Stegostoma tigrinum: one gene and its partners. The main gene of each other region encodes a partner of the protein of the gene in region 3 in a complex. Links are inferred from orthologs where the notes say so. Each region holds a gene or a part of one and is shown on either strand. Other genes may lie near its edges.

Region 1 (8,194 bases), on a different chromosome or scaffold from region 3:
CAAATAAGGGGGACAGTTGCCTTCTCTCCAACCTGTGCATGCCCTTTGTAATTTTGTGCCCTTGGTCAGGTCCCCACCTCAAGCTTCGCTGCTCCAAAGAAAACAACCTGAGCTTCATAGCTGAAGTGTTCCAACCCAAACCCAAACATGGACTTCAGCAAGGCATTTGATAAGGTTCCCCACGGCAGACTCATTCATAAAGTCAGGAGGTATGGGATACAGGGTGATTTGGCTGTCTGGATTCAGAATTGGTTGGCAGACAGGAGGCAGAGAGTGGTTGTAGATGGTAACTATTCTGCCTGGAGGTCAATGTTGAGTGGTGTCCCGCAGGGCTCTGTTCTTGGGCCTCTGCTCTTTGTAGTTTTTATAAATGACTTGGATGAGGAGGTTGAGGGGTGGGTTAGTATGTTTGCTGATGACACAAAGGTTGGAGGTGCCGTTGATAGTATCGAGGGCTATTGCAGGCTTCAGCGAGACATTGACAGAATGCAGAGCTGGGTTGAGAAATGGCAGATGGAGTTCAACCTGGATAAATGCAAAGTGATGCATTTTGGAAGGTCGAACTTAAATGCTGAATATAGGATTAAAGGCAGGATTCTCAGCAGTGTGGAGGAACAGCGGGATCTTGGTGTTCAAGTGCATAGCTCCGTCAAAGTTGCCACCCTGGTGAATAAGGTTGTTAAGAAAGCATATGGTGTTTTGGCTTTCATTAACAGGGGGATTGAGTTTAAGAGCTGGGAGGTTATGCTGCAGCTCTACAAAACCCTGGTGAGACCACACTTGGAATATTGTATCCAGTTCTGGTCGCCCTATTATAGGAAAGATGTGGAGGCTTTGGAGAGGGTGCAAAGGAGGTTTACCAGGATGCTGCCTGGACTGGAGGGCTTGTCTTACGAGGAGAGGTTGACTGAGCTCGGTCTTTTCTCTCTGGAGAGAAGAAGGAAGAGAGGTGACCTGATCGAGGTGTACAAGGTAATGAGAGGCATGGATAGAGTCGATAGACAGACTTTTCCCCAGGGCAGGATTGACTGCCACGAGGGGTCATAGTTTTAAGGTGTTAGGAGGAAGGTATGGAGGAGATGTCAGAGGGAGGTTCTTCACTCAGAGAGTTGTGAGCACATGGAATAGTTTACCAGTGGTAGTCGTGGAAGCGGAGTCATTATTGACATTTAAGCGACTGCTGGACATGCACATGGACAGCAGTGAATTGAGGGGAATGTAGGTTAGGTTATTTTATTTTTGGATTAGGAATATTCCATGACACAACATCGTGGGCCGAAGTGCCTGTGCTGTGCTGTACTTTTCTATGTTCTATGTTCAAACAACATCCTGGTGAATCCCCCCTCCACCCCCTAGAGTGCAATCACATCTTTCCTATAGTAAAAAGGTGCTAGAGCTACACAGATTGCTCCAACTGTGCCCTAACCAAAATCCTATACTTCTCCAATATGATTATCCTAGGCGAGTATCCTAGGTGCCTTCTTAACTAACCCATTATCCTGTTCTGCCATCTTCAGGGATTTGTAGACACACTCCAAGATCACACTGTTCTTTTCAGCTTCCTAGGGTCCTGCATTTATTGAGTACTCTCTTGTGTTACTGCTTCCAAAGTGCATCACCTCACACTTACCAGAGTTAAATTCCATCTGTCCCTTCTGCTTGTCCGTGGTCTATATTCCTTCATTCCTTGCTTATTCATGTGCTTTTCTGAAAGACCCTTAAATGTCCCAATCGTAAGGCCCCCACCATCACCCGTGGCAGCACTTTCTGGATTCCTACCATTCTGTGTGTTTAAAAAAAAATTGCCCCTTACAACTCCTTTGAACTTTCCCCCTCTTACCTTATAACCTTCCGCTTCTAACTTTCTTACCTTAAATGCATGCCCTCTCGTATTAAAACTTTTCAACTCTGGGGAAAAAAGATTCTGACCGTCAATACTATCTACGCATTTCATAATTTTACCAACTTCTCTCAGGTCTCCCCTCAGTCTCAGCTACTCCAGAGAAAACAACACTAATTTGTCCAGCCTCTCCTTAGAGATCATACCCTCTAATTCAGGTAGCATTCTCTTATGCACCCTCTCCAAAGCCTCCACTTTCTTCCTGTAACATGGTGATCAGAACTGAAAGCAATATTTGAAGTGTGGCCTAACCAAAGTTTTATAAAACTGCAACAGGAGCTCCTGACTCTTGTACTCAAAGGCAAGCAAGCCATATGTCTTCTTTACCACCTTATCCATTTGTGTGACCATTTTCAAGGAGATTTGGATTAGGACCTCAAGATCCCTATGTTCATCAATGCAACCATTATTTTTCTTTAAAATTTGATCTCCCAAAGTGCAATATCTCACCAGCCTGGATTAAACTCCATCTGCCATTTCACAGCCCATATCTGCAACTGATCCATATCCAGCTGTACCCTTTGACAACCTTTTACACCATCCACAATTTCCCCAATGTCTGTGTCATCTGCAAACCTACTAACACATCCATTTACATTTTCATCCAAATCATTTACATTAATCATAAACAGCAGAGGTCCCAGTATGGATTCCTATGGAACACCACTAGTCACAGACCTCCAGCCAGAAAAATCCCCTTCCACCACTACCTTCTGTTTACTATGGGCAAGCCAATTGCAAATCTGTGCAGACAAGTTATAATCTTCTGGATGGGACTACCATGAGGAAACATCTTGTATCTTTCACAAATCAAAGAAAGCAAGCATGGCTGAAGCAAAGTACTGGCCAGCAAATGAATCATAATCATCATTTTTAACAATACAACTTGGGAACAACGACTGTCTTCCAATCTTTCCACTCTATCCATAGCTTATTTAATCCTGTCTGCCTATGTGTGTAAATGGCAGGTTTATAAGGGATCAGAGATTTAATAAGTAGTATCGTATGCCGATGGTGTATAACTGTTTACCTGTAGCTACAGTCTAATTGCTTGCATAAATAGTGATTCTTTTCTAGTACAGAAACCAATCTTTATAATCAAGCTGGGTCTGAGTGTCAGGTAAATTGGGGAACTTTGCAGATTTTACAAAAACTTTTGTAACAATTCTATTAATAGGGAGGCATGATTTCCAGTGTGGTACCCCAGTTAGGTGTAAAGCCAGGTAAAGTTCCACAGTCTTACCGAGCTGCTCTCTCTTCAGAGACATGACTGGTTATAGTTTAACTTGAGAGTCACCGTGCCCCAGACCAGGCGAGAGGTTGAGAAGAAAAGTGCTTAATGGTACCCTCAGCGGCGATTGAATCCACACTATTGCCATAATTCTGCATTTCAAACCAGCTGTCCGGGAGACTAGACAACAGGATGGAAAGAGACAGAATGGCGATGTCATTACCCAGACAGCCGTGCGGCGGCGAACTACCCGCTTTGCAGAAGAGCCGTGCGCAAGCGCGGTGCTGGAGCATGCGCAGTGATAAGAACAGTGAGGCAGTAGGCACCGTGTGGAAACATTTCATCTTCAGGGACTGCTCAGCGGTGGAGCTTTTCCTTCATGGGGAAACTGGCTGAGGTGAACGGCTGCCGTTTGGTTTGGGGCCGTCGAGGACAATAAATAAATACAACCTTTGGGTGAAGTCACTGGGTCTTGAGATCTCCAAGAGGGTCGTGAGAAGCCAGCTGGAAGTTACAAAGAGACAGAAGAAAACAACTGCAAAATCAGCAGTCGCTAGGTTTTCCCCCTTCACGGTCCGCTTGGTGAATGCCATTTTTAACCTGCCCCCAAGAGCAGGCAAAGCCAGTGACGAGGGGATGGGATGCGAAGCCACGAGCTGATGGGCGTGGTCATAAACTAGGGTTTCCTTCCAGGGGCTGGGGGGGCGGAGCCGCGGGTTGTGGGAGCAACGCATCGTGGTAGGGGCGGGGCCGAGGGCGGCTGGGCAGGTCCGTGGCCTGGGGCTACCCTTTTTGGGATGGGGGCGGGGCCTCATGCTGGATATCCATCCTGGAGTTGGGGGCGGACTTCTTCACAGGCTATCACTCTCTGGGTGAAGAAAGTTTACCTCAGTTCTGTCCTGAATGCTTTACCCTGTATCCTATTTCATCAGGAACATCCTTCCTGCACCTACCCTATCCAATACTGTTCAAATTTTCAAGGTTTCTCACTGACCACCTCTCTGATATTAACATTAGAATGAGTAGGAGGACTTTGTTGCCCTTTGTTCAGAATGAAGACATTTTGCCTATAAAACTTTAATTGCTTTTCAGACCCAGTGTCTTATTCATGAGGCAGAGCAGCAGCGCAGAAGGAAAGAAAAGGAAGCAGAACCTGATCTCTGCATCCCACGGGATGTCCTGCTCCATGTGCCCAAAAGCTCTGTTCAGTGACGTGAAGACCCAGGGCAGAAACAACCCAGTGTAGATGTCGTCCTTGAATCAAGAGACTGCTGACCTCAATGCAATGTGCAGCAGAGAGTAGGCATGGTCATTCCTGGGCCAGGAGATGGGAATGATATGAATTTCTGTCCTATTCTGTCAGTGATAGTTATAAACTCTGCTGCCAAGGGTTTTTTTTTAAGATCACCTACAGCGTGGAAACAGGCCCTTTGGCCCAACAAGTCCACACTGCTCCTTGATGCATCCCTCCCAGACCCATCCTCCTATAACCCACACACCCCTGAACACTTTGGGCAATTTAGCATGGCCAATCCACCTAACCTGCACATCTTTGGACTGTGGGAGGAAACCGGAGCACCCGGAGGAACCCATGCAGACACAGGGAGAATGTGCAGACTCCACACAGACTGTTGCCCGAGGCTGGAATCGAACCCGGGTCCCTGGTGCTGTGAGGCTGCAGTGCTAACCACTGAGCCACCGTGCCTCCCAAAGTTGGAAAGGATGGATATACGCACAACAAACTCAAACTCAAACTGAGAGAAATGTTTGTCTCTTCTGAATGCTCACTGGCTCACATTGACTGAATTTGTAAACTTCTTTTACAGGATGTTTAAGGATGCTGCACAGAGATGTCACCCGCTCGCTGCAAATTTCCTAAACAGTAAGAGTTTGCTGTGAATGTAGTGCTTCTGCTATCATTCCATTTACAAGTTCCTAGAGGAGATTTTCAAATTGAGAAATGAAATTGTTGCAGAGGTGAGTATTTTTGACCATTTGCTTTTAGTTTTGTGTAATTTTATCAGTGAGGTTCTGTGGCTCTCAAGTTTGTGTGACTCCCTTATGTGGACCTGAATCCATATCCATTCATTGTTCTGTTTAACCTTTCTCCTCCCTGATCACCTCTCTGCAGTTATCTAACTTTCATGATGTTTTGTGTTTTACTCTTACTTCTATTGACTGTTTCTACGTGTGATTTCTACTGCTGCCCATTCATGACATAGCCTCTACTGCTTTTTGGGGAGAGATATGAAAGGCCTTGTGCCTGGAGGAGGTCACAGAGATACAGATAATCACAACCTAGAAGGAAAGCAGACAGAAATGAGGTTTTAAAATTTTGGTGAAGCAAAGTTCTGTGGATGCTGGAGATCTGAAACAGAGCTCTGAAGAAGGATCACTTGAGACATTAACTCTGTTTTCTCTCCATGATCCTGCCAGACCTGTTGAGTTTTCCCAGCAGTTTTAGATTTTGGTTTAAAATGTTGGCCCATTTTAACCTGGAGCCTTTGCTGATTAGTGAACATGGATTGGTGATAGGTGAACAAGACTTGGTACGAGTTAGCACATTGGGAGCAGAGTCTTTGAGGATCTCAAGATTAGTGGGAGGTTGATTGTGGAAGCCTAGCCAGGTGGGTTTTAGAATAGTTAAGTCTTGAGAGGTAACAAAGGAATGGATGAGAGTTTTTAGGAGCAGATGAGCTGAGACTAGGGTGGACTTGGATGATGCTACTGAGTGAGAAATAGACTTTCTTGGTGATGATATATGTTTGGAAGCTCATCTTGGGGTGAAAATTTCACCATAGCTGTGGAATAGTGTGGTTCAACCTTGGATAGTTGACTGTGAGAGGGATGGAGTCATTGTGAGGAAGTGGAGTTTGTTGCAGGGACTGAAGACAATGGCTTCAGTCTTCCTAGTCTTCCTAGTCTTCAGTCCTCCTAATATTTAAATAGAGGAAACTTCTGCTGATCCAGCCCTCAATGTCACACAAGTCAGGACAGTGTGTAACTTGGAAAAGTCTGTGTCCATGTAAATGTGTAATACTGGTCCTTCTAGGTAATGGAGTTTCTGGGTTTGTGAGATTCTGTCAATGTTCTGGTTGATTTGTAGACATATTAAAATAATCAACTTCGCCCCTGCATTTCATTTTCTGTCTCTTTGTGTCTACCTTATCTGCCTTCCCAGAATGGCCAGTGACTTGTAAATGTCCAAACACATAGCAGGTTGCCTTCCCTGAAGGACATTTTTCTTTTATTTCTTCATTTTGTGGAATGTAGGCATCGCTGGTTGGCTGGAATTTATTGCCCGTACCAGTTGCTGTTGAGAAGGTGGTGCCAGCTGCCTTCTTGAATCGCTGTAGTCCACCTGCTGTGGGTTGTCCCACAGTGTCATTAGGGAGTGAATTCCAGGATTTTGACTCAGCAACAGTGAAGGAATGCTGATGGTATTATCACTAGACCGTTAATCCAGAGACCCAGATAATGTTCCGATGACCCAGGTTTGAATACCATGGTGGAATTTGAATTAAATTTTTAAAAATCTAGATTTAACAATCTACGGATGACCATGAAATCATTGCTGATTGTTGGAAATACCCATCTGGTACTTCAGGGAAGAAAATCTGCTGTCCACACCTGGTCGGGCCTACATGTGATGCCAGACCCATGGCAATGTGGTTGATTCTCAATTGCTCTCTGAAATGGCCTAGCAAGCTATTCAGTTGTACACATTTCTAAAAAGTCAGACTGATCACCTGGCATCGACCTTGGCACTGGAAAAAAGGACAGCAGAAACAGCTCTGTTGATCCTGAAAGTCCTCCTCAGTAACATCTGGGATCTAGAGCCAAACCTGGGAGTGTTGTCTCACAGTCCAGTCAAGCAACAGTCTGACATTGTCTTCGAGGTATGATTCCACGAGTATGACAATGTCCCAGACAGCACCATCGCTATCCCTGGATATGTTCTGTCTCACTAGCAGGACATACCCAGTAAAAATGGTGGGACAGTGGTATTCAGTTAGGAGGGTGTTGCTCTGGGAATCTTCACCATGGACTCTGGACCCCATGAAACCTCATGGCTTCAGATTAGACATGGGCAAAGAAAACCTCCGCTGATTACCATGTACTATCCTTCCTCAACTGATGAATCAGTACTCCTCCATGCTGAACAACACTTAGAGGCAGCACTGAGGATGACAAGGGCACAAAATGTACTCTGTGTGAGGTATTTCAATGTCCACCACCAAGAGTGGCTCGACAGCAGTAATACTGATTGAGCTGGTCCTAAAAGACATAGCTACTAGACTGGGTCTATGGCAGTTGGTGAGTAAAACAGAGAGGAAAACATATTTGACCTCATCCTTACCAATCTGCCAGCTGCACATGCATCTGTCCATGACAGTATCTGTAAGATACGTGACCTCCGCACACTCCTTGTGAAAGTAAATTTCCACCTTCACATTGAGAACATCCTCCATCGTGTTGTGTGACACTATCACCATCCTAAATGGGACAGACTACGATCAGATCTAGCAACTCAAGACAGGGCATCCTTGAGGCGCTGTGGACCATCAAAGGCAGCAGAACTGTACTCCAGTACAGCCTGTAACCTCATGGCCTGGCATATCCCCAGCTCAACCATTACCATTAAGCCAGGGGATTGATCCTGGTTCAATGGAGAATGCAGGAAGACATGCCAGGAGCAGCACCAGGCATACCTGAAGATGAATTGTCAACCCAGTGAAGCCACCAAACAGGACTGCTTGTGATACAGCAAAAGCAGCAAGTGATGGACAGAGCTAAGCAATCTGACAACCTAGAGATCAGATCTAATCTCTGCAGGTCTGCCACATCCAGTCATGAATGGTGGTGAATGATGAAGCAACTTACTGGCGGAGGGGGCTCCACAAATATTTTTGAGAAGATTTGTAGTTCAGGTTGTGAATGAGGCTGCAGACTTGCTCACTGAGTCAGTGTGTTTAGTTGCAGACGTTTCATCACCCTGCTAGGTAACATCGTTCATGCGCCTCCGGTGAAGCGTCAGTGTTCTGTCCCACTTGTTATTTATA
Region 2 (8,440 bases), on a different chromosome or scaffold from region 3:
TAACAGTGTCTAGAAAGCGAGGCTCCCGGGGTCACTGAGCCCGCAGCTGTTTAAACATCAGTTAGCAGTTTGCTTTTGTTCACACAGTTTTGGTTTGCTATAGTGCAGTTGCCAGTTCTGAGATTTGCTTCTCTGAAATTGTCTATGCTGTTGTTCACATCTTCCTCGATCTCCATGTAATCGGACTTGCTGATGGTGGACGAGCTGCGGCTTCGTAAGTCACTGTCCGAGGCGATGTTCGGGCAGCTAACGTGCAGGTACTGAGCCTGCTCCTCTCCCTCCGTCTCCCGGTGATAGAAGTAGTTGAAGTTGGAGACGATGACGGGCACGGGCAGGGCGATGGTCAGGACGCCGGCGATGGCGCACAACGACCCCACGATCTTGCCGCCGATGGTGATGGGGTACATGTCCCCGTAGCCCACCGTGGTCATGGAGACCACCGCCCACCAGAAGGAATCCGGGATGCTGTTGAAGTGAGAGTCCGGGTCGTCCGCCTCGGCGAAGAACACGGCGCTGGAGAAGAGGATGACCCCGATGAAGAGGAAGAAGATGAGCAGGCCCAGCTCCCTCATGCTGGCCTTGAGGGTCTGGCCCAGGATCTGCAGGCCCTTGGAGTGGCGGGAGAGCTTGAAGATGCGGAAGACCCGCACCAGGCGGATGACCCTGAGGATGGCCAGGGACGTGGCCTGCTCGCCGCTCACATTACCCTCCTCCTCCTCGGCCAGCTCAGTGCCCAGCGTGATGAAGTACGGGATGATGGCCACAATGTCGATGAAGTTCATGATGTTCTTGAAGAACTCTGTCTTGCTGGGGCAGGCGAAGAAGCGGACCAGGAGCTCGAAGGAGAACCAGATGATGCACAGGGTCTCTACGATGAAGAAGGGGTCGTTGAGGATGTTGGATTTGTACGGGATGGTGGTGTTGCCCACTTGCATGGTCCTCTTTCTGTCGTCCTTGAGCTGGGGCAGAGTTTCCAGGCAGAAGATGACGATGGAGATGAGGATGACCATGACCGAGACAATGGCGATGCCCCGGGCAGGCCCGGAGCTCTCCGGATGCTCGAAGAGAAGCCAGACCTGTCGTTGGTACTCATTCTCGGGCAGGGGCCTCTCCTCCTCCCGAATGAAGCCCTCGTCCTCGCGGAACTTCTCCATCGCCTCCTCGCCCAGCTCGTAGAACTTGATCTCCTCGGAGAACATCTCGAGGGGTACATTGACCGGTCTCCGGAGGCGTCCCCCGGATTGGTAATAGTACAGGATGGCGTCGAAGCTGGGCCGGTTGCGGTCGAAGAAATACTCGTTCCGCAGGGGGTCGAAGTAGCGCATCCTCTTCTTGGGGTTGCCCAGCAGGGTGTTGGGGAACTGGGCCAGGGTCTTCAGCTGGGTCTCGAAGCGCAGGCCCGAGATATTGATGACCACCCGCTCGCAGCACTCATGGTCATCGTTGTCCGGAGGGTAGCTGTCCTGAGGGTGGCCGGGCAAAGCCGACGCTTCGTCCATGTTGTCTCCTGCCAGCACTGTCATTCTTGGCGGGAAAGGGGGCCTTTCAGGAGGGAGAGGGGTGAGGGAAGGGGGCCGATCGAGGGGCTTCCGAATCACTGGCTCTCAGTCTCCCCACCCCCGGGAGGACATTCGGAGGCTGAGTTGGTGGGGAGATCTTCAACCGGGGTTGGTGGGTGGGTGAGGGAGGGAGGAGGACTAGATGGAAGGTGGGATGGGGTTTGAAGGGCTCCGGGCCACTAAAGGACAACTCGGGGCTTTCGAGCCGACTCGAGCATCTCAGGGCTCGGCGTTTCCACACGGATCCAAACTAATCTCGGGCAACTCAGGCCAACTGCCGTGCCGCTGTCTGGCCCACGCCCACCTTTTTGTTTCGGGACCAAGGTGCTGCGGAACACAAAGGTTAGCATCAAACAACATAAAGCTCTATGCAAACGGGAGGGGTTGGGGCGGTTAACAAAAGCAGAATAAAAGTTCAGGGTTGAAACTTGATGGGCGGGGGGGGGGGGGGATGCTGTGTGTGTGTGTTTGTGTGGAGGGGGGGGGGTGGTGTTGATGAAAACAGCCCCTGTCCCCTCCCGACGGTGAGTGCGGCTCGTGCACTGCGTTGGGTCCTACATCATCCCAGGCACACACTCTGTGTACACCTAAAGCAGTTCTCGGCTAAAATCCAGCTGCGGTACTAGGATAAGGAGGACTGGGCACTACAACTACCACGAGGTTGGGGAGCGAGGGGAAATCTAGGAGCAAAGTGAAAGAAAAATCATAACAATAATCTACAAAAAAGAAACAGCCAGCCTTACCTGCTGAATGAAGGAGGACAGAATGAAGAGTGCAGGAATGCGGCCCGGCTCTCCGAGCGATGCAAAGCCCTTCCTCCTGCGTACTCCTGCCTCCTTAATATAGATATCGCTTTACAGCGTTGTGTGTATGAGATCTGCTGAAATATTAATAGCCTATATTATACTGTACTGACACCATTTACAAGTCATTTGTTCCTGACGACTGTTACATCGGACCGGCGGCTACGTAAAATATAACGGGCTGCTATTTTAAATACACCACCAGTTAAAGAGAGAGAAAAACACAAACTATGCACATGGACTTCATGACAGGTAGCGGGAAAGCAATCTTCTGGTACATCCTGGCGTCTTGCTCGAGGATCATGTGGTGCAGAGTAGAAGACTAAATGCATTAAAAGTCAAACGAGCTGGACATCCCTTAGCATTGCAGTATCATCAAAAATAAGAGAGGTGCTTCATGGAGTGTAGTAGGCAAGGAAACCGTTCTCCGGACAGCAACGTTAACAGCTGCAGCGCAAGCAGCTCCCACATTGCAGACAAAACAGCCGCTTCCTATTGTTTTTGTTTTTTTAATAAAAATAATAGAAGCTCTGTTAATTCTCAAATAACAAATCGAGACATTTTAGACGCAGTGCAGGCAGTCCCGGTAAGATCCTCATTGCACACGACGCCGTGCACACTCGCAAAAAAAAATCCGCATCATAAACATCAAAACTGCTGCATCATTTGGTTAGATTTTACGACAATGTTCCTTTGACTGCAGCACACTGTGGCAAACCTCCGAATACAATCACTGCAGTTTGCCAGTTCGGCCCCGCAGGTACAGCGTTACTGCTCCTGGAGAAACGAGGACCCCTAGACTGTACCAACATGTACATATATATAAACACCGCCGCACAAGAGCTCTCATCAATTGTAAACAGTTGCAGGCATACACTGTGCTTCAATACTTAACAGACCAATGCCGCACCCTTTAGTTTGCAAGGATAGAAAATCATCTGATCCCATCACTCATTATTTTAAAACTATAACAATTTTATGTCCTGGACATCATGTTGATAACTTGCACAGCGCACTGATCGTATTAAGTATTGATAACTCAAGAAATATTCATTTGATGCAGGATGTTACAATTAAACAAGGCACCCACTTCCCGTTTATCTTATGGTCCCACAATTTCACCCAAACTTTAAAAAACACTACAGCTTCGCGCTGACAAAGGTAAACAGCAGTTTGCCGCGTTTTGCTGGCCTCCCGTTTTAGGAAGCACAAAACGATTATCTGCATAAACCTCAAATGGTTTTGGAAATCGATCGAAGCTGAGAACATCCTGACAATTACCAGAGAAAGGATCGCCACTGCTCTCAAGATAGTTAATGTTCTGAGTTATGTAATGTGCCTCTTGCCAAGTCACGTTAGCAGAAGGCACTGTGCACGGTCCCGTTTTGTTCCGCGTCGGTATTCTCAACCTCGAGCAACACACATCACATCTGTTTAATTTGATTATTCGCCACATAGCACCATTTACCTGCAAATTTGTTCTCACCGCTGATAAAAGCTATGAACTGTGGAGAAACAAATGGGAAATAGTTGTTGTAACTCGGGATACGAATTTGATGGTCAGCCGTGGCGTGTTGTTGTGCAGTGAGTTTATATGGACATATTCTGCTAACTCCAAATATTCCCAACAGGGAGGTCAAAATTATACACTACCAGGGCCACATGCCCAAGGGGCTTTGGCCCAAACGTGGTGAGACTCAGGTTGTCAATCTTCCACATTGTCCTGGAGACCCCAGGTACTACAGAGAGAGGAAAGAAAATCACCGAACACTGCTGTCTATATTCCTGGAGAAACATCGTGGGGACATTGAAAGCGTATTTCCCTTTGAACATATTATCATAACATATCTATAGTGATCCAAAACATAGCTTTGCCAGTCCCAATATCATCTCTCCTTACCTTGCATAATCATTCTATCTGTATGTAATCTCTCCTGCCATTCATCAGAACTAGGAGCCGGAGTGGGTAATTCAGCCCAACAAGCCTTCTCTGTCATTCAATACAATCTTGATTGATATCAGCTCGGCATCATTTCCTCTTTCTTGCCTGCTCACCATAACTCTTTAACCCAATACTAAATAGTCATCTGTATGTTGCCTGCTTAATTTTACTCAATGTCCCAGCATCCACCACGCTTTTGGGTTACTGAGCTCCACAAATTCATGACCCTTTGAGGGAAATAATTTCTCCTCAACTCTTTTAAATCTGCTAGCCATTATCCTCAAACTATGAACTCTAATTGCCCCACATGAGGAAACATCTTTTCTAAATTTACTTTGTAAATCCCCTTTAGCATCTTATATACCTCAGTTCGATCTCCTCCCATGCTTCTAAACTCCAGAAACTGTAGGCCTAAAATGTTCAATCTCTCTTCACAAGACAAACGCCTTATGTGGGTAACTTTTTACTCTGAAATTATGCCTTCTGGTTCTAAACCCTCCTAACAAGGGGAAATAATTTCGCACATCTCTTCTGTCAAGCCTCCTAAGAATCTTACATGTTTCAATAAACTACAATGATTACAAGCTCAATTTACTCAACTTCTCAAAATTAAAAATCCCTCTATATCCAGAATCAACCTAGTGAAACTTTGCTGGATTGCCTCCAATGAATGGATGTCTTTCCTAAACAAGGGGATCAAAACTGTTCACAATGCTATATGTGATCTGACTGTACCTTGTATATGTTAACAAGACCTCCCTAATTTATACCCCATTCCATTTCAAATAAAGGTCAACAGCCCATTTGTCTTGCTATAAACCACTAAATTTGGACATCAGCTTTTCATGCACAAAGACCCCTAAATTCCCTTGTACTGATCTTTCTGCAGTCTTGTTCCATTTAAATAAAAGCTTTTCTCATTTTCCCACCAAAATGCATAACCTCCCATTCTTCCATGGTATATTCCATCTGCCATATTTTGTCCACTCATATAACGTCTCTGTAGACTGTGTCATCCTCAATATTTGCCTTCCCACCTATTTCTGTGTCATCCACAAACTTAATGATGATATATTCACTTCCTGCTTCCAAGTTGTTTACATGTACTGCAAATATTTGTAGCCCCAGTACTGATCTCAGTGACTTTCCACTACTTACAGATTACCATCCTGAAAATGTTATCTGTATCTCAATACTGTCTTCTATTTGTTAGCCAAGCATCTATTCATGGTAATGCACTCACCCCAAAAGTCATGATCTCTTAACTTATTAGGTAACTTTAAATGTGGTACATTTTTCAAATCCTTTTCAAAATCACAACACATTACATCCAGTAGTTCACCTTTATTCAGCTGCTTGTAACCGCTCAAAGAACTGTAATAAATTTGTCAGGTATGATATCCCCTTCACAAAGCTGTGTTGACTCTGCTTGATTATATTGTGTAAAAGTACTCCATTTTGAAATATATCATTTGCAATAAATTAACATTTTCCAGCCAAAGATATTAAGCTAACAAGCCTATAATTACCTGTTTTCTGCCTCTTTCCATTTTTGATTAACGGTGTTACATTGTCATTTTCCAATCCTCTTGTCCTTTTCCAGAATCTAAGTATTTTTGGAATTTTACTCGCAATGAATCTACCCGCTGTGTACCACTTACTTTAAAATCTTAGGATATAACTCTAAGATCCAGAGGACTTATTAGCCTTTCATACCATTAGTTTCCCTTGTACTGTTCTCTATTGATAGTTATTGTGTTTATTTATCCTACCCACATTGTCTCTTGAGTGTTTAGGATTTATGGAATATTACTAATGTTTTCTACATCATAATATTTATTTTGTGATTGGCGTTCAACCACCTTTCCTGCTAAACTCCTTTTGCAATCTACTCCAACCATTTCTGCCCTCATGCCTATGTATTTACCCATATTAAAGTTTAGCACAGTTGCTTCTGACCCATGTTGCTCATTCTCCAACTGAATTCAAAATTGCACCATGTTATTGTCACTGTCCATAGGGGATCTGTTACTCAGATCATTTACTAAACCTACCTCAATGCATATCACCACATCCAAAATAGGCTGATCCCTGGTTGGAATGACAACATATTGTCTGAGGAAACTGTCCTGAATACACTCTTATGAATTCTTCCTTGTGGCTACCTTTGCCAATTTGATTTTACCAACCTATATGAAAATTAAAGTCAGCCATGATTTATACTGCCCTTTTTTAAATTGGCCCCATTATTTCCTGATTTATTCTCTGGCTGACAGAACAGCTACTTTAGGGGATCTACAGCCTATTTCAACCAGTTATGTATGATTATATGTGATTGACAACTTGTGAGCATTGTCTATCTTGAAGCAGTTAAGACAAATAGTTTTTATATCCTTCGTTCTAGTTTTACATTCAGTAAATTTGACCAAGGCATGTTAAAATAATCAACTGGTCAAAAGTTCTGTTATATCTTTTCATAATCAAATAAATAAAAGAAAGCTGTCATCTTGTATTTTCCAGAATGTAAACAGTCTGTTGAGACCAGCAACTTGTAAACCTTGACCATACATGGTCCAGAGAAGCCAGATAAAATAGACAGATCTAAACAGCCTGTAACCAATCGATCAGAGCAAAACTCTGGAGTTTTAATACATCCAATTGTGAATGGTAGCAGGCAATTAAGAACATAATGGGAGGTGTCTCCATGAACATCTCAATCATCAATGATTGCAGATCTCAGCATGCTCATGCAAAAGTCAAGGTTACGATGCTCACAACCAAGTTCACCTAGAAATTGAGTGAATGATTAGCCTCCACCTAAGGTCCCCACCATCACAGATGGAGGCCTATGGCCAATTTGATTCACCTGTCTGACCTATTATAAATGGACAAATTGTTTGTGCTTGTATGTGAGAGGCATGTTTTTATGGAGCTCTTCTAGAGTTTTCTGATATGGGGTATGATAAACCAAACTGGTTGTCATGACCTCCAAGTTGATAAAGCTCATTAAAAATTCAGCTATGATAATCCTCCAAATAAAGGGACAGCAAAAACCACCTAGGTAAAGACTGTACTGGTGTTTTCTAAAGGGGAGAATGAAACATCAAACTGATCAACATGATTTCCTACATTCATTGGGCCAATGAAAATTTAACTAACATAAACTCCCAAATAAGAAGAATTTCCTTTGTATTAATTTCTGAGTATTACATGAGTCACTATTGTACACTACTGCATTTGAAACAGTGCCAAGTACAAGAATGATTTTGCTGAGGAAAAATCGGACAATTTTGAAATTCTTGAAGTGCAAAAAGCTGACAAAGGAGAGCATCATTTGTTTTTCTCAATTGAAGTCTCGTTTCAGTCCACATTTGAAGGAAATGCAGCACAGTTGAAGTCTTCTTCCAGATAGCCATCAAGAAAGTTTAAGAAGGTGGAGGATTATCTGTGATAACCTGCAACTGTACAGCATTGCTGCTGCTGCAAAAATCTGATCTTTCTGTTCTAGGTGTGAGTAGCCTATACTTCACTGTGGCCATCATGAGACCAGCTTTCAGTGGAGCATCCTTGGATACTGATCCCAGGAAATGATCATCCCACAATGTGATCCCTGACACCCTTCTAATCAGCTATGCTAAGCTCCCTTCAATATAAAAATCAACATCATAACTTTGGTCCAATGGGATAGTGTTAAGAAACAGTTGAGCACAGTTCATATAACTCATTATGCAATAGATCAGAAATAGTGGAGAACCAAGGACATACTGTAATGATTTAGACGAAGAAAGATATTAATATTTAAAAACCAATGGAGAAATTAATCGGATTAAAATCTGCCAAATCTCTTGATCTAGATGGCTTAAATGCCAGGTATTAAAGAGAGGCAATTGCAGAATTAATGGATGCATTCGTCTTGAACTTCAGAATTCCCTAGATTCTAGAATGAACTCTGTGGATTAGAAGATTGTAAATGTAGAACAACTCTTCAAGAAAGCAAGGAGAGAGAAAAAAAAGTGAACAGAGAACTGACAGTGCTGGTGAGAATCGTGTTGAGAGTTTTACTTTGTGACAGTGAAGGAATAACACTGTACTTTCTAATCAAGACAGTGTGAGACTTGGAGGTGATCTTGCAGGTG
Region 3 (7,545 bases):
AAAACAATGTATTTTTCACTGTCATTCAAGACAAAAAGAATATTAACTCACTGACTGTGACTAGATTGTTCACAGACCAGATGGAAGAAGTAGTGAGGCTTTTCTTGTGACAATAAAGCTAAATCTTCTAGTAATTATCCAGAACATATTCTGATTGTTAAAATGAAACCTTCCTGCTAATATGACTAATTTAAATCATTTAGACATGACAGCAGCTGTAGAATTTCAAATAATAAATTCTTCAAACTTGTTTTTACATTCAGTTTAGTGGCATGATTGTACTGCTGGCTTCCAAGACAAAAATCATGTAAACTGATGCTGGCCTCATGATGTTAATTTGTTGGATTTCCTATAGTTGAGATTACTGTCTTTAGTGAAATCAGGTGGCATGCATACACCACTGAACGCGATGTGAAAGATCATGCCCATAAATTGTGAAAGGGGAAGCCTTCACTTAACCTTGCACCACTGCTAACAAAAAAGATCATTTGTCAATTAATTAAATATTTTAGCATTTATAATGAAACATTTTTATAATCAAAACATAGAAATATTATGCCTCGTTACAAAAAAGGTACTTCTAAGATACCAGTTTTTAAATTGGTTCAAATATTTACAATTTTTATTTAGGCAAGTCCCACGGAGAACAACATAACAAAACTCCTTTCCAGCCTCTGAGGCAGGTTCTTCACTCTCCCATCATTTTCTTTAAAGATACCAACTTTTGCTGGGTAACAATCTCATGGTGCTTTTCATTTCTTTGCTCAACCACCCAGCATGGTTAAGCTTTTCCAGTAGAATTAGGCAAGCAGTTCAAATTGAGCGGCATCACGGTAAAACTCAATCCTTTTCTCAAAAGTGGGAATCACTAGAAAGTAAGTCACTGGACAACGGAAACAGGTACAACAAATAATTTTCTCCTGAGGTCAATTATATGGTCTTTATAATTACACAAGCTGAAAAACAACCAGCATAAATGGGATCAAACACAGAATTTTCTTGAACTGTGGTTTAGCAATCCATCACCATAACCAGTTAAGTTTCACACTTTTTAAAATGTATGTATTGTTTATATGCACAGTATTAATAAATATACAAGAAAGCCTCACTTCTCTTGTACTGGCTTTCAAAGACAATGCTATACGAGGTTAGTGTATTTAACAATTTGTAATCATGGTCATAAATTAATATTTGCATTTTGCCTGAAAGTAAGAAATGCCAAAACCACAACCAAAATTAACTGTTAGGTTATTCATAACATTTTTTGTAGTATTGAACAACATATTTTTGAAGAATATTTGAAAAAGAGATGCCATATTTCTAATACTGATCTTTGAAGGTGGCATTTTGGTGTGCCCTGGACATGGTCTGAATTAAATATTTTCTTTTTTAAAAACTGTAACGCATATACTTATTTATTACACATTCAGATGGTGCATTCAGATTTGTTCGAGTTTCCATTAAATATTTTAACATTCAATGTTAGTTTGAACTGAAGTAGCAACAAAACATATGGGTCTTAGATAAGACATTACCAGGCTGTAATCAGAAACTGGGCTGCAGAAGGTGGCAAGGCTCATGCGCCAAATTGTCACTTAATGACATACTGGAAAGCATATGAAGGAAACATGCAAATTAAACAAAGCTGGAAAAAAGGGATAGAACCTAAATGACAAATACAAATAAAATTAAAGTACAGAAAAATAAATGTTTTGTTATAGCATGAAGTACACACATTAAAACAAGGAGATGATTAAATACAAGCGTAATTTATAAGTTCAGATGTAAATTCAACATCAATTCAAATCAAAATGCCCTGCCTTTTCAGGCAAGATGGAAGAAGAGATGACTTTTATTATATTATATTATAAAAGGCGAGGAAGTTTCTGGATGCATGCAATAGTGGAATAGCAGGTCTGAGCAAGTATGATGATTACAGGGCAAAAGGAGCAATACCAGAATCTGGAGAAGTAAGGATAGACAGGGAAAACACTGTGGACCGGAGAGAAAAGAAAACAATGTAATAGCTCTATAATCTACTTTTAAGCTTGAGAAACATATCGAAGAATCATAGCTTCAAAGTTAAAAATCTCTTAAGACACAAAAACTTAATCTGTGTTAAAGAATAACAGACAGTTGCACTGAAAACTGGAACAAATATAAATGTGATCTACAAAAGTCCTTGAACTCTATTTGTAACAATGCCTCAGTTTCCTTCTGTGCTTAGCATAAAATTTAGTTATAAGCTAATAATGATTCACTGGTGGGCAATCAAATCTCTGTCGTGTAAATTTAACAGGGCTAAGTACCCTTTTTTCTCCCCCATATAATAAACTGTAGTTGGATGCAAAGCAGCAGGCAGCTATCTAAAATAGGCAAATCCCATTAAATTGGGATATACCTTAATACAATAATTGCGTAACTACAGTAAAAACTGGCATCTCCATTCCAAATGTCGACATTTGCTTTTGTAAGATTAAAAATATTGACAAAGTCCATTCAATTTATCAATTTAATTCTACATTTTTGTCCTATTTTCAGGGATTACTGATATCAGGAAATCAGTACATAAAACAGTACCATGAAGCTTTATTCTTGATTTGAAATTGGTATTGAAAATGAATGGTCATTATTTGCAGCCATCTTTGGTACAGCCCCACACACAAATATAAATTACTGAGTATTTCTTGCATGTTGTCGTTTTCCAATCCAAAATAAAAATCTATTGGTGTGTAATTTTTTGCTGTTGCAAGATAAGAAATAAACAGTAAAGCAAAGCAAAATGTTTCATAGCAGGCATACAGCAAAACAATTTTTACCAAACCTCTGGGAATGACTCTTCGCTTTGGTTAAGTTGAACTTTTGCTGCTGCTTACTATAATGCTTCTCCTTGAAAAAGGCACAACTAGAAAGGAAAGACCCCAAAGTTGTGCCAAAGGGGGAGGAGGTTCATATTGCAGCTAGAATTAAAATTCCATTGTGCAGCTTTCCCTATTAATATTACTAGAGATAATTTTAAAGAGTATTAAAATTAAGTTGTTAAAATAAAAATCCATTTCATTAAAATATGCAATACTAAATCATGCCTATCAAAAAAGCAATATTTTCCAGCAGCTGCTTTTATTTCAAAAATTTTAAACTTCGATAGACAATCTCATACCCCAAATTTACATTTCATGTTTATACACAAAGACTATATAAATCCCTTCCCTTCATATCTGTTGGTTTTAAGTTTACCATTTTTTAAAAATGCTCCAAGGCATCAGATAAAAGCTAAATTTAAAAATTAATAAAACTAAAAGTTTATATGCATACCCATTCAGGAAGATACACTCCAGCATCACTACTGTTTGTACATATTATTCTTCTAAACTAAAAGCAAAACTCACCCAACTGCCAGAGTAGCTGCTTGTTTAAAAACCAGGAATGGCTTTTAAGATCTATAAGACTCTACGACAGCACTTTGATATTTGGAGGGGGCGTTCTATTGTCAAAAGCAATTAGTAAGTACCAAATCCATTCCCCCTGCTATAGACTAAGTGGTTTTCTGATGCAGCCCATTTGCTCTTATCAGTGTACTTGCATCTTGGCAAATAGTGGTTAAATTATTTAGGGCATTCTCTTCCACTAAAAGCTTACTGTAGCAGATGAAGTATTGTTTACTGCTTAAAAGGGATAAAGCCACCACTACCTTAAATGAACCTAGGAACCTGTGCAGGCTTTTCATCAATTTTTGCAGAGTGCATATATTTTCGTAACTGAACAATAATGATTGGTTTAAAAGTGTGTTAAACCCCAAGATAAATGGAGCAATTGGTTCAATCTCCGAGAAACATAATTTCAGCAGAGGTTATTTTAGAATATTCTGATGTACAGATGCCTTACTGCTTCTTTACTAATTATAAGTTTATTGTACAATTATGCTGTATATGATAGCTGCTCGAACTAAAAAAATTAAAGCATGAACTCCTTTTAAACATGTACCACACCACAGCTGTTTATATTTCCTGGATTGAGATAGTTGCATTACTGCAGCACTATTGACACCCCAATGTCTGAAAATTTTCTTCTAAATAATTATTGGAATAAATAAAATTAAGTTCTGAAATTTCAATAAAAAGATATTTTTAAATGAAGCTTAAAAATTGAACTTTGTACTAATCCTAATTGTAATGCAACAAATAGAAAGATCACTAACCTACTAGAAATGAATGGACCAATATGCATCCAAATTGGTGACTGTGTAATACTTTTGATACCAGCGCTACCAAAAGCAAGGGAACTGATACTTACATAGCACCTTTAATGGAATAAAATGCCCCAAATTGCTTCAAAGGAATTGGCTCTTACCTCTTGGTGATTCACCCTATACTTGTCTTCACCTAGTTCTCACCTGAGGATCAAAATAATTGTTCACAATGCAACCACAGTTATAACTAGTAAAGCATTCAATGGCTCAGCCAAACCAGGCAAGGGTAGTGATCAGGTTTACTAACCTTAGCAACTTAAGGGTTTGTCTACTCTGGTCTTAAAGCTAGGACAAAGTCAAATTGAAGTAATACACCAGACTCTTCAAGAAAGCACTATTCAAGCCCAAGATTTCACTCCATGATCAGAACCTTTCAGCAATGAATAAATTCATGTAATTTAACAATTTCACGTTACCCAAGCTGCCTATAATGACAAAAAGACACATGTAAGAATTATTTAAGCAAGTATAGATTTCAACAAAAAGTCTGCCTACCAAACTGCAAGTTGACAGAATAATGGTCCTGGCTCACTCAGCTCCAACCATGACAGATTTGATCTGTGTACCAGCATCACACCAAGAAAGTCAACTATTTTCATTTAAACAGCCTTTGGAAGCTTCTGAAGATAAGATGGTAGGACAAAAAAAAAACAAGCATCCATGTAATCATCCAAGTTGTGGATGCTTGGCATGTACACCATGATGAGACAGTTACAACTTAGATGGACTGGTTATCTAGTGACATTTGAGTCAAAAATATGCAGCAGGTGGATATACATGTCCCCATTTGAACAACTGTTTATTTATTCTATTTGCATTTCTCAAGTCTATTCCTTTCTTCCTTCCTTCATTATTGACATCCGTGTGTTCCCAAATGAAATCTCTCTACTTGAAGTCCACTGGGGTAGAACTGTTCCACTGGGACAGGCTTCACTTAAGCCATGCTGGGACCAGTATCCTGGTGATTGAATAACTAGGTCTAGAGTGAGGGCTCTGAAACAATTAGAAGGGGGTAAGGAAAGCATATGAGAAAGGGGAAACAGCTTTGGGTTACAAATCAAAAAGGATATGGCAACTTTACAGGGTGGTTATTGTTATGGACCAGACCAACCCCTTAAAAACATATCACTGAGATAGCCCAGATCCCAACATTAATCTTACTTAAAGGGAAGTAAAAGATGCTGCACTGCAGATGTGCTTCAAATGATCAAACTACTAGACTTTAAGCAAAAGACACTTTATTCTTACACCACAGTTAAAATACAGACAAAGAAAGAATTGGCATAACTTAAACTCTACCAAAATATTTGACATAATAATATATTATTTAACTTCTACTCATCAACTGTTCCACTATACCAGCAAAACATTTACACACTCCTAGCAAAAGCAAAATCACTCACATGCTTTCTCTAGTGCAGGAGATAAAATGAATGAATCTAGCAGCAGAGACAGAACTCAATATTTTGCAGCAGTAGAAAAAGAACGATACTGAGCAGCTTCAACTCCAAATACCCCAACTTCAACAACTGAAAGCAAACAAAAATCCTGGGTCTGTGTGAGCCTAATTCTACCCACTCATGTTTCTTTTGTCTAGCCAAAAAAAGCCCAAAACTATTTACTATGCATTCCATAGAGCACAAACCTCGTCACCAGATTTACATCCCCACCTCCAAGAAAAATAGGACAGATTAATTTCCTCTTAAAGGTACACAGCATAATATCCAAAGTGGGGCAGGAAGAGTAAGTGTGTACAACAATACAAAAACAGCAGTAAATAGGCTAAAAAGGTAGGAGTGTGGGAGGGGGTTGGTGGAAGAATAGTTTAAAAAAAACTAAGCAAAAAAGCTCTTTACTTTGAATCTACATAGAAGTTGGAACAAAAAAACAATGTAAATTAACGAACAGCATAGAGGTTAATAGATATAATTTTATAGTCATTAGGAACATACTGTTACAAGGAGATCAAAGCTGCAACTAACTATTCAGGAGTGCCCGACTTGTTGAAAGAGCAGGCAGGAAGGACAGCAGTAACAAGGCGTGGAGCTGGAAGAACACAGCAGGCCAGGCAGCATCAAACACCCGAAACGTCAGCTTTCCTGCTCTTCTGATGCTGCCTGGCCTGCTGTGTTCCTCCAGCTCCACACGTTGTTATCTCAGACTCCAGCATCGGCAGTTTCTACTATCCGTAAGGATGGACAGGATGATGGGGTAACTTTGTTATTTTGGGTGGAATAAATACAATAAGAAAAGAAAAATTCTGGACTGGAATATATAAAATCCATGAGTAGAGATAAGAAATAACAAGGACAGGACAACACTGGTAGGAATGAGTCTTAGACTCCAGGTCTCCTAACAGGAGTTACATGGTAGGACAGAAAATAAATCAGAAAATAACAAAGGCATGTATAAGGAAAAAGGCACGTTGTCAATCATCGGAGATTTTAATCTTCATGTAGATTAGGAAAGTCAGATTGGTAGAAGTAGCCTAAAGGAAGAATTCATAGGATACATACAAGACAGTTTCCTAGAACGTGTGGATCCAGCTCGGGCTCAGGCCATTTTGGATCTGGTATAAGGAGGCAAGATTCATAAATGATGTCATAATAAAAGATCCCTTAGAAAATAACAACCATAACATGATAGAATTTAGTATTCAGTTTGAGAGTGAGTGACTTGGGTTGGAAACAATTGTGCTAAAATGAAATAAAGCTAATTTCAAAGGAATGAGGGCAGAGCTAGCTGGAGTGGACTTTGAAAGGAGTTTAGCAGCAAAGGTAGGTCAGAAATGATAGTAGACTTTAAGAAAATGGACCCTGGCTTACAACAAAGATGTATCGTAGTGAAAAAAGGAAGATTCTAGTTTGGGAATAAACCAACTGTGATTAACAGGACAAGTGAAGAATGACATCAAAATGAAAAAAAAAGTACAATGGGGAAAAAGACTAGTGGTAAGCCAGGGGTTTGGGAGATTTTAAAAACCAACAAAGACAAACCAAAAATGAAGAGAGAGAAAACAAACTTAAAGATAAACTTGCAAGTTATATCAAGACTCACAGAAACAGCTTCTTTAAATACATAAAAAGAAAGAGAACCCAAGGTGAAAATAGGCCCCTCAGAAAATAAAGCAGGGGAAATAATAGTGGAGAAACCAGGGGGTCCAAAAAGGGAGAAGAAATAAATTGAATAACTATCCATAAAGATAAGTAGGGGAAAACTAATGGGGCTAAAGAAGTGTCTCCTTGATGTGGTGCATTCTAGGATATTGAACAAAATAGCTTCAGAGATAGAGGTTG

Evidence for each region.
Region 1: the proteins of kcnab2a (region 3) and potassium voltage-gated channel subfamily A member 2-like are in contact, whole or in part, in a crystal structure (PDB 5WIE), measured with the Rattus norvegicus proteins. The link is inferred for Stegostoma tigrinum from reciprocal best matches to the Homo sapiens genes KCNAB2 and KCNA2. Residues at the interface, in NP_059000.1 of Rattus norvegicus: Met193, Met196, Tyr199, Ser200, Arg203, Glu231, His234, Lys235, Ile236; in NP_037102.1 of Rattus norvegicus: Asp28, Glu33, Pro62, Met66, Phe69, Asp70, Pro71, Leu72, Arg73, Asn74, Tyr76.
Region 2: the proteins of kcnab2a (region 3) and potassium voltage-gated channel subfamily A member 1 are in contact, whole or in part, in a crystal structure (PDB 1EXB), measured with the Rattus norvegicus proteins. The link is inferred for Stegostoma tigrinum from reciprocal best matches to the Homo sapiens genes KCNAB2 and KCNA1. Residues at the interface, in NP_059000.1 of Rattus norvegicus: Met196, Tyr199, Ser200, Arg203, Glu231, Lys235, Ile236; in NP_775118.1 of Rattus norvegicus: Glu37, Met70, Phe73, Asp74, Pro75, Leu76, Asn78, Tyr80.

Annotation. Positions count from the first base shown.
Region 1 is NC_081374.1:48,650,177-48,658,370, forward strand, and holds the start of potassium voltage-gated channel subfamily A member 2-like, read right to left. Parts: upstream 3,259-8,194; 5' UTR 3,144-3,258; intron 1-3,143. UniProt on the Homo sapiens protein: Voltage-gated potassium channel that mediates transmembrane potassium transport in excitable membranes, primarily in the brain and the central nervous system, but also in the cardiovascular system.
Region 2 is NC_081378.1:39,907,740-39,916,179, reverse strand, and holds the start of potassium voltage-gated channel subfamily A member 1, read right to left. Parts: upstream 3,153-8,440; 5' UTR 2,303-3,152; intron 1,887-2,302; 5' UTR 1,524-1,886; coding exon 51-1,523; 3' UTR 1-50. UniProt on the Homo sapiens protein: Voltage-gated potassium channel that mediates transmembrane potassium transport in excitable membranes, primarily in the brain and the central nervous system, but also in the kidney.
Region 3 is NC_081381.1:25,935,558-25,943,102, forward strand, and holds the start of kcnab2a (voltage-gated potassium channel subunit beta-2), read right to left. Parts: upstream 3,486-7,545; 5' UTR 3,390-3,485; intron 1-3,389.